Linked DNA regions of Diceros bicornis minor. The protein of the gene in region 1 purifies or fractionates together with the protein of each later gene. This does not show direct contact. Links are inferred from orthologs where the notes say so. Each region holds a gene or a part of one and is shown in the gene's direction. Other genes may lie near its edges. The genes, in order: RANBP6 and ARMCX3.

The links.
Region 2: the proteins of RANBP6 (region 1) and ARMCX3 purify together in Homo sapiens (co-immunoprecipitation; 3 studies listed by BioGRID and IntAct, counting the BioPlex papers as one, with this or other methods). This does not show direct contact. The link is inferred for Diceros bicornis minor from reciprocal best matches to the Homo sapiens genes RANBP6 and ARMCX3.

What each region holds. Positions count from the first base shown.
Region 1 is NC_080761.1:29,931,370-29,942,256, reverse strand, and holds RANBP6 (ran-binding protein 6), read left to right. Parts: upstream 1-3,232; 5' UTR 3,233-3,241; coding exon 3,242-6,559; 3' UTR 6,560-7,848; downstream 7,849-10,887. UniProt on the Homo sapiens protein: May function in nuclear protein import as nuclear transport receptor.
Region 2 is NC_080781.1:94,685,228-94,696,114, forward strand, and holds ARMCX3 (armadillo repeat-containing X-linked protein 3), read left to right. Parts: upstream 1-5,207; 5' UTR 5,208-5,338; intron 5,339-5,359; exon of another isoform or gene 5,360-5,491; intron 5,492-5,827; exon of another isoform or gene 5,828-5,867; 5' UTR 5,868-5,947; intron 5,948-6,232; 5' UTR 6,233-6,293; intron 6,294-6,553; 5' UTR 6,554-6,624; intron 6,625-6,868; 5' UTR 6,869-7,014; coding exon 7,015-8,154; 3' UTR 8,155-9,921; downstream 9,922-10,887. UniProt on the Homo sapiens protein: Regulates mitochondrial aggregation and transport in axons in living neurons. May link mitochondria to the TRAK2-kinesin motor complex via its interaction with Miro and TRAK2.

The sequences.
Region 1 (10,887 bases):
TCCTAAATGCCCCCAGTCTTCACACTATTATCAAAGCAATATTTCTAAAAATTGACTATTTCTGACAGCCCTTAAATCCTTAAACAGCTCATCACTACCTTTAGGAAAAAAATCGAAATTTCTTAACATGGAGTATCAGACCTTCATGATCTGGCCTCTATTTAACTTTCTGTCTTCCTCCTTCCTGCCTCCTGTATCATCCCAGGCACCCTCAAGTCCCATACCCAATGCTCCAGCAATTCTGAAATACTGGCAGAACTCTTACCACACTAGGCTCTAACACCTCTCTGCATATGAACAAAGCTGTTCCCTCTACTTAGAACAACCTTCTTCTCTTTCTTTAAATAATTAATGAAGATTCATCCTTCAAAAGTCAGCCCTGATATCACCTCCTCTGGGAAGCCTTACCTGATTTCCCGCAAACCCAGATTAGATTGGCTGCCTCCACAACCCCATGTGGTTCCATGGCAGACTTACCATCACCACAGTGATCACTACACTATGTGACATTTACTGGCTCTCATGAGCATCTTTATGTATTTAATCTTTACCTCTAGCATCCAGTGCCATGCTTGAGTATACCCTCGATGAATGTTTGCTGACAGAATAAATGAATAATTGCATAATCTTAACCCAGCATTTTCCAAACATTTTTTCAAAGTAGTTGTACCAATTTACTTATACTACCATCAAAAATATAATTGATTCCATGTTCCACATCCTCACCAACCCTTGATATTGACAGACTTTTAAATTTAAAACATTGTGGTGGGTCTGTGGTGGTATCTCGTAGTTTTTGATAAGTCTTTAATATGCCAATAGATATAGTGTTAAGAAAAGCCTTTCTCCTCTCACATACTTATTAACTTTTCCTGAAACAGCAAATGCAAAGGCTCTGCAGTTAGACTATTTCAAGGAACAGTTAAAAAAACAGTGATTCTGGAGCAAGATGCAAACTTATAGTCAAGATCTTGGAATCAGAACCAGAATTGATCTCATCAGTGGTTCTCAAACTTTGGTATTTATATGAAAACCCAGTGTGCTTGTTAAAACTGAACTTCCTTGGGTTGCATTCCCCAGAAATTCTGATTCAGTAGTTAAGAACTTGGGTCCTAACACCTGTATTTAAAAATAAGTATCTCAAATTCCTCAAAAAATTAAAAATAGAAATACCTTATGATTCAGCTATGCCACTTCTTTATCCAAAGAACTTGAAACCAGCAATCCAAAGAGGCTTATGCACTCCTATGTTCATTGCAGCATTATTCACTATAGACAAGAAGTGGTAGCAACTCAAGGGTCCATCGACAGACGAATGGATAAAGAAGACGTGGTATATATACAATGGAATGCTACTCAGCCATAAAAAAAGACAAAATTGTCCCATTTGCAACAACATGGATGGACCTGGAGGGTATTATGTTCAGTGAAATAAGCCAGACAGAGAAAGACAAACACCGTATGACTTCACTCATATGTGGAATATAAACTTACACACTGACAGAGAGAACAGTTTGGTGGTTACCAGGTGGAAGGGATTGGGGGTGGGCACAAGGGGTGAAGGGGCGCATTTATACGGTGACTGACAAATAATAATGTACAACTGGAATCTCACAATGTTATAAACTATTATGACATCAATAAAAAATTATATAAAAAATAATAAGCATCTCAAGTGATTCTGATGCAGTTGGTTTTCAGTCCACAGAAAGTGTTTAAAAGAATAAGGTTTCTTCCTAAATGAGCATAGTATCACATATTACAATGTAATTTATGAGACTACTTAGTGTATTATCTCGTTAATGGGAAAACTGGGATTTTCTATCTTTGTGGGTATATGCAGCAGCATTTTACAAAATTAAAATTAAGCCCACTTGGAGAAGTTTAAGACAGACTCTGCAATAAGTAAAGGACTCTGATCATGTTGCCAAACCAAGAGTAATTATGGAGAAGTGCTATGGTGAAAGAGTATTGGTGTTGCTTTCAGAAGAGGTGGATTTGAGACTCAGCTGTGTCATCTTAGGCAAATCTCTTAACCTCCCTGAGTTTCCATTTCTCACCTAAAATTAGTATTATACCTATCTTACTAATCTTGCAAACCTGTATAATGGTCAAAATGACAGAGTGGCAATGTGCTAACAGGAAAGTAAGATCTAATCATTGTTAGAGGAATGATTATTGCTTTTGATTGACACAATTGCCTGAATTAAAGAAACAATATTTATCCTTAGGGGTATTTGTTTCTTGAAATAATCGCAGCATCTTCCTACTAAAAGGAAAACTGTAAAAGAACTTTACAATTTAGACAACATGCAAGGAAAACCTTGAGTGATATGACCAAGGATACAAAATTAATTTAGAGATAAGACTAAGAGTCAAGTCTTCTGATTACTAGCCTAGGTACACTTTCCACCATACTTTATTCAGTTGTCTTTCTCCTTCTTTATTATAATCCCTAGGCCAGGTGATTCTGACACACATCAGAGTTTGAGCACCACTGCTCTACTGTATTAGGTGTTGTAGTGGGGTGGTAATCATTGTTTTTATCTTTTATTGCACTTATTTGATAAACAGCTTTATTGAGGTATTATTCACATATCGTACAATTCGCCAATCTAAGTTGTACAATTCAGTGGTCTTTAGCATAATCACAGAATCGTGCAACAATCACCACAATCAATTTTAGAACGTTTTCATCACCCAAAAAGAAACCGCCTATCTGACAGCAGTTATTCTCCATTCTCCCCTCCCCCCAGCCTCTGGCAACCACTAATCTACTTTCCGTATAGATTTGCCTATTCAAAACCTTTCACATATATGGAATCATACAATATGGGATCTTTTGTGATCGGCTTCTTTCACTTAGCAGAGTTTCAAGATGTACTTATTGTTTTAAAATCATCAAGATAACAACAATAGAGTTTAGAAATAAAGGAAAGGAGAAAATCAATCACCCATAATCCCATTCTAATACAATCAATATCATATTTTCTTTTTTTTCCCTTCTGCAGGTGCATTTTTGTCTGGTTGGAAAACAGGTGGAGGATGCCTCTCGCCTCCAGCCCGCTCTCACCTATCCGCCCCGCCACCCGGCTCCCCAGCCCCAGAGGGCATCCAAAGAGCCCAGGCAGCCGAGGGAGAAGCGGCCCCGCCCACACCCGCCGGCGCCTCGCTTGCGTCACTGCTTCCCGCCGCAGACCCCCTCCCTCCTTCCCGGTCGCGGTTGCTTTGACAGAGCGCGATGGCGGCGGCCGGGTCTGCAGGGATACCGGCGACCGTGTCGGGAAAGCAAGAGTTTTACCAGCTTTTGAAGAACCTGATCAATCCAAGCTGTATGGTGCGGAGGCAGGCAGAGGAAATCTATGAAAATATCCCAGGTCTGTGTAAGACTACATTCCTCTTAGATGCTGTCAGAAATAGAAGAGCGGGTTATGAGGTGAGACAAATGGCTGCCGCACTGCTACGACGGCTTTTGTCCTCTGGGTTTGAGGAAGTCTATCCAAATCTGCCTTCTGATGTTCAGAGGGACGTCAAGATTGAACTGATCCTGGCTGTTAAGTTAGAAAAACATGCTAGCATGAGGAAAAAACTTTGTGATATTTTTGCAGTGCTGGCCAGGAATTTGATAGATGAGGATGGCACTAACCACTGGCCCGAAGGTCTGAAGTTCCTTATTGATTCAATCTACTCTAAAAATGTGGTTCTATGGGAAGTTGCACTTCATGTTTTCTGGCACTTTCCTGGGATTTTTGGGAACCAAGAGCGGCACGATTTGGATATCATCAAACGGTTGTTGGACCAGTGTATTCAAGATCAAGAACATCCAGCAATCAGGACATTATCCGCTAGAGCTGCGGCTGCATTTGTACTTGCTAATGAGAATAATATTGCTCTTTTCAAAGACTTTGCAGACTTGCTTCCTGGAATCTTACAGGCTGTGAATGATTCATGCTACCAGGATGATGATTCAGTACTAGAATCCCTTGTTGAGATTGCAGATACCGTACCTAAATACTTGGGTCCTTATTTAGAAGATACTCTGCAGTTGAGTCTAAAGTTATGTGGAGACTCTAGACTTAGCAATCTGCAACGCCAGCTGGCCCTTGAAGTAATAGTGACCTTGTCTGAAACTGCAACCCCAATGTTGAAAAAGCATACAAATATTATTGCACAGGCAGTTCCTCATATATTAGCAATGATGGTTGATCTGCAAGATGATGAGGACTGGGTAAATGCTGATGAAATGGAAGAAGATGATTTTGACAGCAATGCAGTTGCTGCTGAGAGTGCACTAGACAGACTCGCATGTGGGCTCGGTGGAAAACTTGTTTTACCAATGACTAAAGAGCATATCATGCAGATGCTTCAGAGCCCTGACTGGAAATATCGACATGCTGGATTAACGGCCTTATCTGCCATTGGAGAAGGATGCCATCAGCAAATGGAATCAATTCTAGATGAAACGGTTAACTCTGTTTTGCTCTTTCTTCAGGATCCCCATCCTAGGGTGAGGGCTGCAGCCTGTACTACACTTGGACAGATGGCCACAGATTTTGCACCTAACTTCCAAAAGAAATTCCATGAAACAGTGATTGCAGCTCTGTTGCGTACCATGGAAAATCAAGGTAATCAGCGTGTGCAATCACATGCAGCTTCCGCACTTATTATTTTTATTGAAGACTGCCCCAAATCATTGCTAGTTCTATATTTGGATAGTATGGTGAGAAATCTACATTCCATCTTGGTGATTAAACTTCAAGAGTTGATTCGAAATGGAACTAAGTTGGCCTTGGAACAGCTTGTGACAACCATTGCCTCAGTCGCAGATACAATAGAAGAAAAATTTGTTCCATATTATGATATATTTATGCCCTCACTAAAGCACATCGTTGAGCTTGCTATTCAAAAGGAACTCAAGCTTCTGAAAGGAAAAACTATTGAATGCATTAGCCATGTTGGCCTTGCTGTTGGGAAGGAAAAATTTACGCAGGATGCACCAAATGTGATGCAACTATTGTTGAAGACACAATCAGACTTAAATAATATGGAAGATGATGACCCTCAGACTACTTACATGGTTTCAGCATGGGCCAGAATGTGTAAAATTCTTGGAAATGATTTTCAACAGTACCTTTCCCTGGTTATTGAGCCTCTCATTAAGACTGCTTCAGCTAAACCTGATGTTGCTCTCTTAGACACACAAGACGTGGAGAATATGAGTGATGATGATGGATGGCAATTTGTAAATCTTGGAGACCAGCAAAGTTTTGGAATTAAAACTTCAGGACTTGAAGCAAAAGCAACTGCTTGCCAGATGTTGGTTTACTATGCTAAGGAGTTAAGGGAAGGATTTGTGGAATATACAGAACAAGTTGTAAAGCTGATGGTTCCTTTACTGAAATTTTATTTCCATGACAATGTTCGAGTGGCAGCAGCAGAGTCCATGCCTTTTCTCCTGGAATGTGCAAGAATTCGTGGCCCAGAGTATCTTGCACAGATGTGGCAATTCATATGTGATCCCTTAATCAAGGCTATTGGGACTGAACCTGATACAGATGTACTCTCAGAAATAATGAATTCTTTTGCAAAGTCCATTGAAGTAATGGGAGATGGATGCCTTAATGATGAACACTTGGAAGAACTGGGAGAAATATTGAAAGCAAAACTTGAAGGGCACTTTAAAAACCAAGAATTGAGACAGGTTAAAAGACAGGAAGAAAACTATGACCAACAGGTTGAAATGTCTCTGCAAGATGAGGATGAATGTGATGTTTATATTCTAACCAAAGTATCAGATATTTTGCACTCATTATTTAGTACTTATAAGGAAAAGATTTTACCATGGTTTGAACAGCTGCTTCCATTAATTGTAAATCTAATTTGTTCTAGTAGGCCATGGCCAGACAGACAGTGGGGACTGTGCATATTTGATGATATCATAGAGCACTGCAGTCCAACCTCATTTAAATATGTAGAATATTTTCGGTGGCCAATGCTACTAAATATGCGAGATAACAACCCTGAAGTCAGGCAAGCTGCTGCTTATGGCCTGGGTGTTATGGCACAGTTTGGTGGAGATGATTATCGTTCTTTATGTTCTGAAGCTGTTCCACTGCTGGTAAAAGTTATTAAGTGTGCAAATTCCAAAACCAAAAAGAATGTCATTGCTACAGAGAACTGTATCTCAGCAGTGGGGAAGATTTTGAGGTTTAAGCCTAACTGTGTAAATGTAGATGAAGTTCTTCCACACTGGTTATCATGGCTTCCACTGCATGAAGATAAAGAGGAAGCTATTCAGACTTTGAGTTTTCTCTGTGACTTAATTGAAAGTAACCATCCAGTTGTACTTGGTCCAAATAATTCCAATCTTCCCAAAATAATCAGTATAATTGCAGAAGGAAAAATTAGTGAGACTATTAACTGTGAAGATCCTTGTGCCAAACGCCTAGCTAATGTTGTGCGTCAGGTACAGACTTCTGAAGAATTATGGTTGGAATGCATATGCCAACTTGGTGATGAGCAGCAGGAAGCCTTACAGGAGTTGCTAAATTTTGCTTGAAACACTTTAATATCACTTGAATATCATCTACCATAAAAGTAACTCCAAATAAGTGTTGTGAGTGAATTCTATTATAATTGAGAGAACTGTTCTCTCCCTGCTAAGCAGTTTATATTCCTTCCCCATGTTTCTCCAGGATTAGTCAGTGTTACAGCCTTCTGTTCACCTTGCATGTTTTATCTCTTATACACAGACCTTGATGATAACCTGTGCTTCCGTTGTCTTAGAATGTTTGTCCCCTTTCTAATGTGATGTGAAGTATATAAATCATTGCTGTTTGTCTGAATCACTGATGCTGGACAAGCAATACGCTTGGTGTCAAGATGTCATGCTGCCTATCACAAGATGCTAAGAGCTCACAAAGATAGGATAGGAGAACTTCCAGGACAAACATCTTTGGAATAGTGGGTGAAGAATATAGTGGCAGGCTTATTCGTCCTTGTTAATACTCCTGGTTTTGATGGAAATGGGAAGATGCTGAAATTGGCCAAGAGCTTTGAGATATTGCAGTAGATGTGGGGAGTTTTCTCTATAATGTATATGAACTTTTTCATAATGTCCTCGTGGGAACTAGGTGAGGCATATCCATATTCTAGTTCCCAAGGTGTCCAGCTGAGAGTTATGAGAACTTTAAAATCTTCTAAGCCAGACCAGTCTCTATTTTTTAAGTTATCCAGGACTCTAAGAACCATGTGTACTGAAAAGGGTGTCCTGGTGCATCTAACATTGGTAGCATGTACATACTGTAACAATATTTGACAAATAGTAAGTAATTGATATTTGTGGGAGTCAATCAGTGTTATGTGTTTGAGCAGAATATTACATTGTGTATGTATGCCATTTTCCCCCTGCAAAGCAGTTCAATGAGAAAAGAAGCCCTGATTCAAAATGGGGCCTAAATAGATTTCTATTTTGAAAAAGTTCTTAATAGATTCTATAATAGCACTGAGGAGTATTCTATTGTGAAAATGAAGGGGAAGCAAAATTAATTTTATCTTTAAACATAAAAAAGAAAACAGTTTTGAGACCAGTTGTTTAGCAGTAGATGTGCATTATAAGAAAACAGTCCCATAAATCTAGGGTTAATTATATGAATTAGAATGTTGGTCTTTAATGTTGAGCTTTTGGTAGGGTAGGATAAAAGCATTCTACTCAGCAAATCATTGATCCAAAATTTAAGAACAAATACATCTGTCATTTCCTGTGGCTATTGTGAGTACTGTGTATGTAAAGTATTTAGCAAATATTTAAGACCTAGTAAGTGCTTAATAAATTGTAGCTGTTATTGCTGTTGTTTGTACCTCTACTGTGTTCTTTTTTATGGTTTAGAATTCCTCTTACATTAGAATTTCCCTGATTCACCCTCTACCAGTTCAGATGAGCAGGCCATCTAGGCCATTGTGCACAGAGATATGAAGTTGAGATTTTAGGTATGCAATTCCTGTCCATTCCCTACAATTATTTATTGTTAATGGGGGGGGGAAGGAAAGGACATTAAGTACAGTATGGTCACAATTTTAAGTTTATTTAAGATAAAAAAGTATAGATGAATAAATAGAAAAATCCCCCCACAAAGTATTAATAGAGGTTTTCTCTGGGTGGTGGGATTAAATGGCAATTTTTCTTCTCATTTATCTGTATTTTCTAATTTACCTACAACCAACATATTTCTTGTATAATAAAATATTATAGAAATAGAGTAGAATAGAAATATATTTCTTTGTTTTTAAGTTCCAGGACCTGATCCTACTTACATAATAGCTTACATCTTGGCCTCTCCATGACCTATAGCAGAGGTTCCTTCACTTACCGCTCCTCTTTATCTTAATTAAGAAGCCCTTAATCAACATTTCTAGCAATTCCCTACACTCTTGTACATGAGGAATTGGTAATTCTGCCAGATGACTTAGAATTAGGCACCTAGAGAATTTTGAAGTATGACAGACCTAAAATTGAATTTTGGCAAACTACTTTTTTAACCTAAGCATCAGTTTCTCCATCTGTAAAATGGTCATAATACCTAGCTCATAGGAGATAATGAATATAAAATGCTTAGTGACACGGGGTTCAATAAATGTAAGTTAATATTATCTGAGAGTCATGAAATGGGGTTAGTGGCTAAAAAAAGGGGATATTTGCTGGGGTAGGGTGGGTCCAGATTCTTGGGCTTTGTCAAAGGCAATGAGGGATGTCTAGTCAGACACATTTTTGGTTGTCAATTGCTAAAGTAGAGCTGGTCCCCGCCTTTGTTCCTGTGAGCTGAGTTACATCTATGGGCTCCGAGGAGAGAGAGAACGCTGTAAATGCCTAATAAATTACTAACGTCTGATAAGATGAACCGAGACCTTGAAAACTAGACAATGGATGTGTGTGTGGACTAGGGGAGGGTCAATACCCTAAAACTCAAAAGTGTTTGAGTCCACTCCATAGTCCACTTAACTATTTTACCTAAGGCTGCTATTTAACTTACTGGACCGAAAAAAAAATCTTTGAAGTTTTGAATTTTATCAGTGCTTTAAAGATACACATTAATGAGAAGCAAACAATCTCAAGAGTTAGAATATCCAGACCATTTAGTTATATGCCTTTTACTTTTAAAATACTTGATTTCTAGAATTTTGTTTTTCTGTTATACTAATCCCAAGTTTCAAGCAAGAGCATTCAGTGTAAGTAGAAAAAGTAATATCTGCATCTTTCAAATAGAACATGACAAAATAGTAACATTTACTTTACCCAGCCATTAGTTCCTTCCTCCCCACTTACTTTAAACAATATGTAAATTAGTGTGAATGATAAGTCCACTTTTTAGACATATTCCAAACTAATTTTTAAATATGTAATGAGATTGTAAGTCCATGCTAACAACTATTTAATGGTGTACAGCCTAGATTTGAAATATTTGAAGACTTGAGTCTCAAGGGTGTGTGTGTGTCTGTGGAAGATTAGCCCTGAGCCAACATCTGATGCCAATCCTCCTCTTTTTGCTGAGGAAGACTTGGCCCTGGGCTAAGATCCGCGCCCATCTTCCTCTACTTTTATATGGGACACCGCCACAGCACAGCTTGACAAGCGGTGCATGGGTGTGCGCTGGGGATCCGAACCTGCAAACCTCAGGCCGCAACCGAAGCAGAGCGCCCACACTTACCGGCTACACCACCAGGCCGGCCCCCAAAGGATTTTTTTTTAATGAGGTTCCATTCCTTTCCCTTATTCTAGCAGATCTCCAGAATCGAGAAGGTGGAAATGGGGGGGGGGGTTGTTTTAAAAGAAAACATGCGATTACTTTCCATAATAGGACTTGATGTTAAGAACTGGGGACAGGAGTTTCAGAAATTCGAATTCTACAAATCATCTTCTTTTCTTTTGCATGTGAACATACGTTTCAGTTGGTTAAATCCTTGAACCTCCTCTCTAAACTTTTCAAAATTCTAGTTTTATATTTAAAAAAACAAGCAGTCACAAAGCGGAGGGTGTGCGCAAAGAAAATGTAAATTTAACAAAAGAATAGGATTTACACTTTTGTGCCTTCTTACTATTCATTTGCCATTAACGAAGGTTATCTAGCAAGCTCCTTCAGGATTAACTTTAGTTTTTAGGACTAGTAAGCGTACCGCAAAAGAAATACCTTATTACGGCACTCACTTTTGAAAGCCCTTCGGCCTCCCTCTCTGGAGCTGCTAGTCAAGCTGCGCAGGCGCCTTGCTTCCCTCTCCACTCCACCCCTTAAAGTCGTCCACAAGCTGATGACATCATTCGTCCGCGCAACCTACCAGCCCTCGGATCCTGTAGCTGAGCCGAAGTCCTTGCTTTCGTGTAGCTGGGCGAGACGCGACGGGGGCGGGTTTTTCTAGTACGCATGCGCACTGCGGAGACCGACGGTGCCTCTTTCTTTGCTTCTTTCCACAGCTCGCCCCAGGCTGGGGGGGGCGGGGGGGTGGTGCCTGAGTGCCCACCCCCTTCTCTCCCTGCCCCTCCCCTTTTCCCCCTCCCCCCCCGCCCAGCGGGGCTTCTAACTGACAGTTGTCGCCGGGCCGCGTCCGCGCGCCGCCTCCTCCTGCCCGGGTTCCCCGCAGGTAGAGAGGGGCGGGAGGGGGTGTGAGGGAGAGGAGGAGGAGCCCAAGCCGCCGCGGCCCAGCGCTGCGGCCCCCTCCCGGGAGGCGAGAGAAGAAACCCCCGCTTCGTCCTCGCCCCCTCCCAGCCCCCCAGCCGGCCCGGGAGGGGGTGGGGCGCCGAGGCCGCGGCGGCCAGGCCGGGCCTGGCCGGTGAAGAGCGGGCGGGCGGGGCGCGGAGGGGTGAGGCAGGCGAGAGACGCGCGCGCGCCGCCGCCG
Region 2 (10,887 bases), on another chromosome or scaffold:
TCACTTATACTTCTTCTTGGGGAAATGTCTTATTCTTTCCTTGGCTCTGAGACTCCTGTCCCCCCTTCCTTAATTTCTATCCCTTCCCACATCAAGTTTCTGCATCAAAATTGAAGGGTGGGGGGCAGAAAAGAAAGCCCAAGTGGTAGTGAGGTTTTTATTAATATTTTTGATAAATTTATATTCTATTTTGTCCTTTCTTCATTTTTTATTGACTCAAGCTACACTATTTTGTAATCAGAAAATACAATCAAGCTATTTCACATGAAGAACAAAATTCGAGACTTAAAAAAAATATATGTGTGTGTGTAATAAACAAGATTTTCCAGTTAATAAGGAGGCCTCATTGATTTGGTTAATTTGTACCACATTGAAAATATTTTCTTCTGATTGCACAGGAAATAACAGTTTTCAAACAGCTGATTAAAATTAAAAAACATATCCTTACAAACAAAACCAGTGTGCTTTCAATATGATTTATAAATTGATGGATAAAATTAATCTATAGTGAGGTAGTCAGTGTTTTTATCATAACCATTTTAGATAAGTAAACTACTATCCCTTCCTTCTTCCTGGCTGAACTCATAGTATCAGGCATCAGACGACTGAGATCTTAGAAGACTGCTTTCATTCTGGCTTTAAAGGACAGACTTTATGCAGACCCCAAATTCCGACGAATCTTACATCTCCAGATGAAACTTACAAATTAGTAACTTCAAAGATTAGCCTGCTTTTCATTCAAAGGTCTTTATTTAAAATCTATTCTGAAGTTTCACGGTGTAACCCATAAATCATCCAGAAATTGGAGAATTCTCTGTTATGCCACTGATGGAAATGAGACTCAATAGATGGAATTTTCATTGAATCATGACACTGGTGAGATACCTTTGGCATCTGTCATTCATGTACTATGTCACCCTAGCAGCAGCTAGTGTTGAGCCTCTTCCAGTGGAGACAGTGGTGTGGCTCTGAGGGTGACTGTGAATCCCTGCGACACCCCTGAGATCCATGTTATTGTTCCCTCACAAAAATCACAGTTTACAGGATCCCAGGCAGTCACCAGCAGAAAGAAGCCTTTTCATTCCGTGCCTTCTGTTACAATTTCACCGCACTGCCCATACAAGCCCCTCATAATAATCCCAGAACTCGGGGACAAAGTATGCCATTAGTCCCCAGACATTCAGCTGTCCCCGCTGGGGAGTCATACTCTAAATATAGACCTTTCAGGCAGTCTCTTTCTTAGAACGTTGAAATATGACACCCCAGCAGGAAGCTCCCTGATGGAGGGGCCCCAGTGAGGGGGAGGTCCTTTCAGGAGGTGAGCCAGGGAGCCCAGAGTGCCTTGCTGGTGAATATTCAGAAGTGAAGATAATGTCACAACTTTCTGGTCTTCCTCAAACTTTTATAGTCCTAATTCACTCACCAATATCATACCTCGTCTCTCTAAACCCCTACCTCATTTGTTTTGCAATCATCTCCTGAAACGGTTCTCTTTGTCACCATTTACTTCTCTTAGACAAGTGAATTCTTATTTATGAAGTCTTACTAACAGAACTGGCAGATTCAACTGTTCGTAATTCAGGTTTTGGCTACTAAGTACTTATATAAATGGCTTTTGTTTGTTTGTTTGTTTTTAATTATTTTTTTTTGTGAGGAAGATCAGCCCTGAGCTAACATCCATGCTAATCCTCCTCTTTTTGCTGAGGAAGACCAGCTCTGAGCTAACATCTATTGCCAGTCCTCCTCCTTTTTTTCCCCCCCAAAGCCCCAGTAGATAGTTGTATGTCATAGTTGCACATCCTTCTAGTTGCTGCACGTGGGACGCAGCCTCAGCATGGCCGGAGAAGTGGTGTGTCTGTACGTGTCTGGGATCCCAACCCAGGCGGCCAGTAGCGGAGCGCGCGCACTTAACTGCTAAGCCACAGGGCTGGCCCTGTTTGTTTTGAATATACACATTAGAAAGAACTAAGGAGTGTGTAAAGCTTAACAAAGCTTCTAGGACAAAAGCTCCACTCCTACCTCTCCTTACTAGTATGAAGTATCTCCCCCACTTTGGTATATTTTCTGAGTATTCCAATGTATAACCCCCGACCATCATTTTCCCAGTCTGTGAGACCTCTCCTGTCTGAATCCACTCCTTCTCTAAAACTTCCTAAACCCCATGGGAATGATAACTCTTTCAATTCTCTTACTTCTTTGTCATTTTGATCCACAATTTCTACCAAGGAACCTGGGGACTAGCATTTAAAGTGTACTTTGCTCTCCATTATACATCCACCAACAACTATTTATTTAAGGGCATGTTATTTGCTTGACATACTATTTCCAAAGTGAAAAAGGAAAATCCTTAAGCAATTCCTCAGACAAGCCTGTTAAAAGTTCCTGAGCCTGCAAAAAAATATGTGAAGCCACTGCCAAAAGGAACCTTTTGGTTTAAATCAGTCCGTGGTCACATGTGATGTGTGATTTATGAAGTACCCAAAACCCAAAAAGAGTCAGCAGATAGCAACACTAATGGAATTGTAGAGGGTGAGAAAAATAAATTATAAAAGATTTTTATCTTAAAAAGCTGTATTACCTTTTGTATTGTGTTATTTGCTTTTGTATTGCGTATTCGTTAATTTTGTTTGGTTGCAAGCAACAGAAACTAAACCCCGTGAACATAAACAATGAGGAAATGTTGAACACCAGGGTCAGCTCTGAGGGGTCTAGGTGGGAGGAATTGATAGTTGGCTTCTTCACGATGCCATAATTCCACTGATTTTCAGTTTTTTCTCTCTGTTCAAGATTTAAATTTTAGTAAGAGAGTATTGAGTTGGTCTGCTTTGGGCACAATGCCCACTCTTTCGCTGAGGAAAAGGACAAATATGTAAAGTGCACTTCTTTTCTTTTTCCAGAGAGAAATGTAAACTGCTTCAGATGTTGTTGTTGATTTGCAGGAGCCCTTTAACTACTTTGGATATTAATCCATTGTCCAGCTGTGACTGAGGTGCTGAGGCCTATTTGCCACAGCTTGTCTTAGTTGTAATTTTCACATTAACTGAACATTAGAGAGGTACAGTTCTGAAATGGTGATGCATGAGGTTGTCTTCTAAGCCAAAGCTACCTGGCTTCCCTGACAGGATTCCACAAGGTTGCATCTACAGTTCAGGGTCTTGTCCTCACTGTTGCGTGATCAACCCCTGATTTTGTCTGTACACTGGGAGCAGATGCCTCTGTCAAGGAAAAGGACCCCCATTCATAGAGACATATATAAATCTAGATCTGAATGCCCAAACCCACGGATCTCTGGATTCTCTCCCTGTAAGTAGGCCACAGGGGAAGCTAAGTCTCAACAGGAGTGACAACTGACTAATTTACCCTGAGAAATACAACTGTCAGGGGTACTGGAGGTTTCTGTCAGTTTTACCAGTTTTACTGGTAGGCAAGCTACTACAGTCATATATAGCTTAATGACAGGGTACGTTCTGAGAAATGCGTCATTAGGTGATTTTGTTGTTGTGTGAACATCATAGCGTGTACTTACACAAACCCAGATGGTATAGCCTACTACACACTTAGGCTATATGGTACTAATCTTATGGGACCAGTATCGTATATTTGGTCCGTCATTGAAATGTCAGTTATGCAGCACATGACTGTACTTAAGAAACCACAACCTCAGAAGGCTGCTTGGCAATGGCATTGGTTCACCTTAAGAAGTGGCTTTCAGCTAAGGAAGCTTGAAGTCCTCTTACACATCATGAGGATGGCTCTGCCAAAGAAAGCTAAATGTTCCATTCATCTTAGCCAAGACTCTCTCTCCTCCAGACAGTGCTTGGGTGGGAACTACCAACACTTTCCTCTGGCTCTCCTTTTCATATATTCCTGTGCTTGAATAAGCCCCTTTGCTGCACATGACCTTCCTCTAAACAGAATCATATAGTTGATGTGGTTTCTGTTTACTAAATTTCAGTCATATCCTAGTACTGCCTCCCAGTAGTTATATCGATATGAATTTCCCTGGAGTTTTGCCTGTTCCCAAACTTCCCAGTCTCTTGATTTACTCCCATATTGTCTGTGGATTATAAAAGTTATACTCAGATAATAACCTTATATCCAAACTATTAGGGACTATCCCACTGTAGACTCCATGTTCTGACATTACTTTTCCCACTATAAAAAGTTCAGTCATTACTGACAGGTGAATCACTGAGTTCATCAAACTAGCCGGTGAAATGGTTTCACTAATTCATGCTAATTGCTAGATGCCGAGGAGTTCAATTTTGTCTTGGTCTGTGTTCCTCTAACACCTGTTCCATTTGAAGATGCTATTCTCTATTTGCACCAAGTATATTTTGTAATGTTCTTTGTATGCCACTCACTTTGTCAGTGTGCATGGCTTTTTGTCTGGCAGATATCCACTACACAGTTGTAATTTCTACTTAATCTTTTCTGTGTTACTGGCTTCTGAGGGCTCCATGCCTCTTCCTTGCTAACTTGTGCAAGCGAAAGTCTGGAGCTCTCCTGTTCAGAAGACTGGCCTAGTCAGAAGATTATGCATTCGCAGACACACTGATTAGCTCATTCAGAGTTGTGTTATGCACTAGGCCCCAGAAGACATTAAGATTGCTTTGAGTCAAGTGTGTAACATTTGCGGCAAGTGAGAAAATGCGGGACTTTTGGAGGCCTTCATCCAACATCACTCTCCAACTCCCACTCTTTTTTTCTCAAATGAAAATAGCTTTGTAGTAATTTTTTTTTCTCATAAAAAGAATGCAGGCCAGGAGCAGGAGAGGGCAGAACAAAAAGAACAAAAAAGTATCAAGAAAGTAAAAACCACACTCTCCAGATCTCCTTTTCTGATAGCTTTTCCGTTTCAAATCTGGGACTAGCTTTCAGAGGAAATGGTAGACATTAATAGCTGGGACGAGGGGAGGTGGAAGGAGAGGTTACTGTCCCAGGAGCCTAGGGAAGGAAGAGGCAATTTTTCAAAAAGCACAAGTGGCCAGTAGCCCCAGGGGAAGATGCTGTCCCTTTGTGGTAATCAGAGGAAGGCAAACACAACTACAGGGAGCCGGGATTAGCAAAGAAGAAAGAGTAACAAGGCCTGGTTGGGGGAGGGAATGGAGGAGGGCGGGCGCTCTTCTGCCGCACTGCTGGTAGGAGGGGAAATTGGGGACCCGAGTTGGTGGATGACGTAGATCTCACGTGACCAAGAGCTGACGTGTGCAGAAGTCCTTCTTGTTCTGGTCGTTGTTCCCGTCTGAGTACCAGCTCCCCATTGCCCTAAGGGCGAGCAGGCCTGCTGCAGAAGGAAGAAGGAGGAGGAGAAGGAAATTGTCCCGGATCCCTGCAGGTCAGTGCCTGGGAGAGTTCATAAGGTGGGGGTACCGAGGGCATAGGGCGGAGACCGTCGCGGGTCCTGAGGCGCCTCCGTCGTCTCTCCCTCTCACCGCCGGCTTTCCAAGACATCTGTCCCGCCCGCAGCCGATTTCAATACTGCGAAATGGTGAGCAGGGGGGTGTTTGCGGAGAAGCCCAGAGATTCAGAGGTGGGAATACGCTGAGAGCCGAAGCCGTAATCCGGAAAGGGAGCTGTGGCCTGGGTGTTGGCCCCCAGTCCTCCAGGACAGTCCCGGCGGGGAAAGGCTGGACTTGGGGCGGGGGGGGGGGGGCTGTAACGTGGTGTGTCAGCATAACTCCAAGAGGGGTAATAGTGGGAAACCTTTGACAACCAGGCCTCCGAATTAGGAGTCTCATGTTCTGGGGACTGGTCCGTCCACCAAGCACTCGGTAGCGGCTGTTTCTTGTCTTTCTGACTGTGGTCTGTGTCTTCCTGACCATAGCTCTGTGTCTAGTGGGTCCGAGCCTCTCCCGGGTTGCCAGTCTTTCCGTAGGTTGCGGCATTACGCCAGGCAACAGAAGAGGAAAGAAATTAACCCCAATCGGTGAAGGTCGATTTGAGGGTAAGACCATCTGGGGACCCTAAGAGGGGCGGTGGTGGGGGTGGGGAGAAACCAGAGATAGCAATAATCTAGGTTAGGTCTGAGTCTGTGTTTCTTGCACTCTCGGGACTGTGGTGAAATGGCGTGCGTTGTGTGTGAATGTGTGTGTGTGTGTGTGTGTGTGTGTGTCGCAGGGGGGTGGGGGTGGGGGAGAATGACAGAAAGGAAACCTATCAGATAGTTTGTTCGTAATCCTCCTCTATCAACAGCACTTAGTCCCTATGTTTTCGATCTGTCATCCTGCAGGTCTGCTGTAGCAGGTGGCACCACTTGAAGCGAGGGAGGAAGTTTCCTCGGATCAGTAGAGGTCGGTGTGGGCGTGGGGGCTGCCTGGAATGGGGGAGGGGTTGGAAATCGGCCGTGGTTGGACAGGCTCACCCAGTCCTACCGTATTTCCCTAACATCCCTCCCTGAATTCGGGTTAAGGAAGGGGCAGACATGTGCATGTTTTGGATGGCATAGAGAGGTTAAAAAAATCCGACAACCTAGATGGTGAATCAGGAAAACTACTAATGAAGAGTCAATCCATCAAGCCCTCAATTCTCACTGACTCTGGTCTCTCTGCAGATCGCAAGGGTTGTTGGGCGTGGCACACCTCCAGGGGAGGGAAGAAGGGGCAGACTGCCTGTTTGGAAGAGGTTAGTGCAAGGATGCCACTCCCTGGGGACACCCGAGATTGGGGTGGCTGAAGCCCCAGCAGAGACTATGGGCTCCATTGCCTTTATCTAGGCTGGGGAGGGGGTGGGCTGAGAGAGTTTGTTAACAATCTACACTTCCTTTCAAGTACTCATTTACTACTCTCCTGGCCCTCTGTGCAACTCCCTGCATGGGGCAACACAAAGAGAAGAGAAACTCAAACCCATTTCCTTCCTCTACCCCTAGGTCCACCTCCAGTATCAGCTATTGTGGCCTTGAAGTGGCTGAAGACAATCACTCTCCACAGGCCTGCACCCAGGCCCATAGCCCTCCTTCCCCAGCCTGAGTGACTACTCTATTCCTTGGTCCCTGCTATTGTCAGGGACGATTGCATGGGCTACGCCAGGAAAGTAGGCTGGGTGACTGCGGGACTGGTGATTGGGGCTGGTGCCTGCTATTGCATTTATAGACTGACCCGGGGAAGAAAACAGAACAAGGAGAAAATGGCTGAGGGTGGGTCTGGGGATGTGGATGATGTTGGAGACTGCCCTGGGGCCAGGTACAATGACTGGTCTGACGATGATGATGACAACAGTGAGAACAAGGGTATAGTATGGTACCCACCTTGGGCCCGGATTGGGACTGAGGCAGGGACCAGAGCTAGGGCCAGGGCAAGGGCCAGGGCTACTCGGGCTCGTCGGGCTGTCCAGAAACGGGCTTCTCCCAATTCAGATGATACTATTTTGTCCCCTCAAGAGCTGCAGAAAGTTCTTTGCTTGGTTGAGATGTCTGAAAAGCCTTATATTCTTGAAGCAGCTTTAATTGCTCTGGGTAACAATGCTGCTTATGCATTTAACAGAGATATCATTCGTGATCTGGGTGGTCTCCCAATTGTTGCAAAGATTCTCAATACTCGAGATCCCATAGTTAAGGAAAAGGCTTTAATTGTCCTAAATAACTTGAGCGTGAATGCTGAAAATCAGCGCAGGCTTAAGATATACATGAATCAAGTGTGTGATGACACAATCACTTCTCGCTTGAACTCATCTGTGCAGCTGGCTGGACTAAGATTGCTTACGAATATGACTGTTACTAATGAGTATCAGCACATGCTTGCCAATTCCATTTCAGACTTTTTTCGTTTATTTTCAGCGGGAAACGAAGAAACCAAATTTCAGGTTTTGAAGCTCCTTTTGAATTTGGCTGAAAATCCAGCCATGAGTAGAGAACTGCTCAGGGCCCAAGTACCATCTTCACTGGGTTCCCTCTTTAATAAGAAGGAGAACAAAGAGGTCATTATTAAACTTCTGGTCATATTTGAGAACATAAATGACAATTTTAAATGGCAAGAAAACGAACCTACTCAGAATCAGTTCAGCGAAGGTTCACTTTTTTTCTTCCTAAAAGAATTTCAAGTGTGTGCTGATAAGATTCTGGGGATAGAAAGTCACCATGATTTTCTGGTGAAAGTAAAAGTTGGAAAATTCATGGCAAAACTGGCTGAGCATATGTTCCCAAAGAGCCAGGAATAACTTCTTGATTTTGTAGTTTAGAAGCAACACACATTGTAAACTGTTCCTTTTCTCCACCTTGTTTATACGGTAAAGGAATCCTTTCAGCTGCCAATTTTGAGTAATGAATATCATATTGTTTCATCAATGCTGATATTTACCCGAGTTGGTCTTCAGGTCTAAGCTGGATGAATGAATATCACTACCTGTTCTGAAAACATGTTTGTTGCTTTTTATCTCGCTGCCTAGATTGAAATATTTTTACTATTTCTCCTGCATAAGTGACAGTGAACCAATTCGTCATGAGTAAGCTCCCTCCTGTCATTTGCATTGACTTCATTTGTGTATCATCAATAAAGTTGTGTGTTAATGCTGGAAAGAAAGAAAGAAAGAAGCAAGAAAGAAACCATCCTTGTCCTTCGGTTTATAATCTAGTTGGAGAGATAAGAAACATATAAACAAAAAGATAACTGAGAATATCTGGAGCATGTACTCATTGTCAAATGTGCACTATCGGAGCACAGAGGAAGCAAAGGCTTCTGTGGGATACAGCAGTCAGCTACAGATTCATGGAGAAAGCGGCTATCTAAAATGAGTCCTGAACCGGGGAGGTAGTTAGGGCATTCCCTGAGATGAGAGTAAGGGAGGACTGGTGTGAGAAAGGCATGCAGGTAGGAACTCTCTTCCTATGACAGTGAGAAGACTAGTATGCTTAGAGTGGAGAGTGTGGGAAAGGGAAGTAAATAAATTTGGAAAGCTGGGAGAAGCCAGCTTGTGGAGAGCTGTTTGAATATTATCCCACTGAACACCGAGAGCCACTGAATATTTTTGACTAGAAAAACAGTTGGAATTCATATAAAAGTCCCTCTCTCACCTATGTGCAGTGTCCACGAGGGTGTGGCAAAATGGACCCTTTCAAACCCTGGTGGTATGAATAAGTTTACACTGGCACAAGGTTTGTGGAGGGCCATTTGGTAATGCATATCATAAGCCTTAAAATATGTAAACCCTTTGTCCTAAGGGAATAATTGAATAATTGGCCAAAGACTGAATGTACAAGGCTGTTCATGCCAGCACAGTCTAAAATAGTAAAAATTGGAAACAAGTGTCTAGCACACTGGATTGGTTAAATAAATTAATGTTCACATGGTATATGATAAATATGTTGATTCAAATCCATATTGCCAGGAAAAGATATTCATCATGCATTGTTAAGTGAGAAAAGTAGATTAGATAGCAGTATTCATAGTATGATTCCTTTTTTTTTGGAGAACAATAAAACATATGTTTAAGTAGACACTAAAAACTTTGGAATTACAGACACCCAAATAGTAATAGTGATTATCTTTGAGTGGAAGGTTAATGAGTGATCTTTACCTTTTTACTTTTTATTCATTTATGTGTTCTTATTTATCTAAAATGAATATTGATTTTTCAGAAATTTTTGAAAAAGGAAAGTGTTGGGAACGAAGCAGGTGATTGGAGCATGTACTGAGTGGAAAAAATATTTAGATTAAAAATGAGACGGGTTGAAGTTTCTTCTTTGAAATGATAGATGAGTGGTGAAGATAGGGCTCGTTGTGAGAATTAAATGAAGTAATACATGCAAAATACTTAGTATGTTCTGGCACATAGCAGTTAATTAAGAAAAGTGAGCACCCTTAATTTCCTAGAATGCAGGGTTGATAGTTTTTTTGATTGACTTTTGTTTTGCTGGGGGCATTCTGCCATGTGTCAGTGTCTTTTAATAAATAATAACAATAAAGGCTAGCATTTATTAAGTGACTACTTTGTAGAGTTCTGTCATTCCTGCAAGGCAACTGTTAAAATAATTTCTCAAAGGAATAGGGTTTTCTTATTTCTAAGGATTCAAAGTGTTTCCTCAGACATGATATCACCAGCTCCTACAACATATTCCTTGTCGGTTTGGGGATGTTATCCTTCTTTATATACGAGGCCAGGAAAGGGTAAAACCCTCTGTTCAGTTATGATCTGGTTTTAGCCCCAGGCTTCCATAAACTTACTCTAATGTTGTCTATAGTGGACAAAAGGACCGGGGACTGATTGGCTTAAAGTTGTTGGGTATGGTGACCCTATTGAATCATGCACATGTGAAGACTCATTTGACACCAGTTTTAAAGACAGGGTGAGGGAACAGGGAACTAATATTTTTCTTGCTCTATTATTAGGTAGGAGAAAAAGATTTGGGAGGAGAAGTCTAACCCATTTAAAATAAACTGAGTTTGGGGTACCTGTGTGACATCCATATGGAGACACCCTATTGTCATTTGAATGTTTTGATCTGGCTCTCGGAGGAGAAGACTAGGCTGCAAATAAAGATTTAGGAGCCAGCAGAGGATGAATGATACCTGAGAACATGGGAGTGGATGTGATTCCCAGAGAGAAGGCACAGAGTGTAAGAGTGGAGGGCTGCAAAAAGAACTGTGTGAGGGACTGGCAGCTGGAGAGAGAAGCACAGAATTGAAACTGAGTGTTTACCCTTAAAGACACTTTCACTACCCATATACCTATTTATTATATACACAAAATTGGATGACACTGTAGATAAACTTTCAGAGCTTCATTTAAAATTTTTCTACTTTCTCCTAAAAAAACACTCATTGAAGATAGTAACGAAAATAGAGACAATGAGAAAAAACTTGTCCCCTGACCCAGCTATGTAACTTGAACATCTAAAAAAATATTCAGATGAAGCCATGTTGAACTTGGGGAGCTGAGGGACTTTTATGCCTG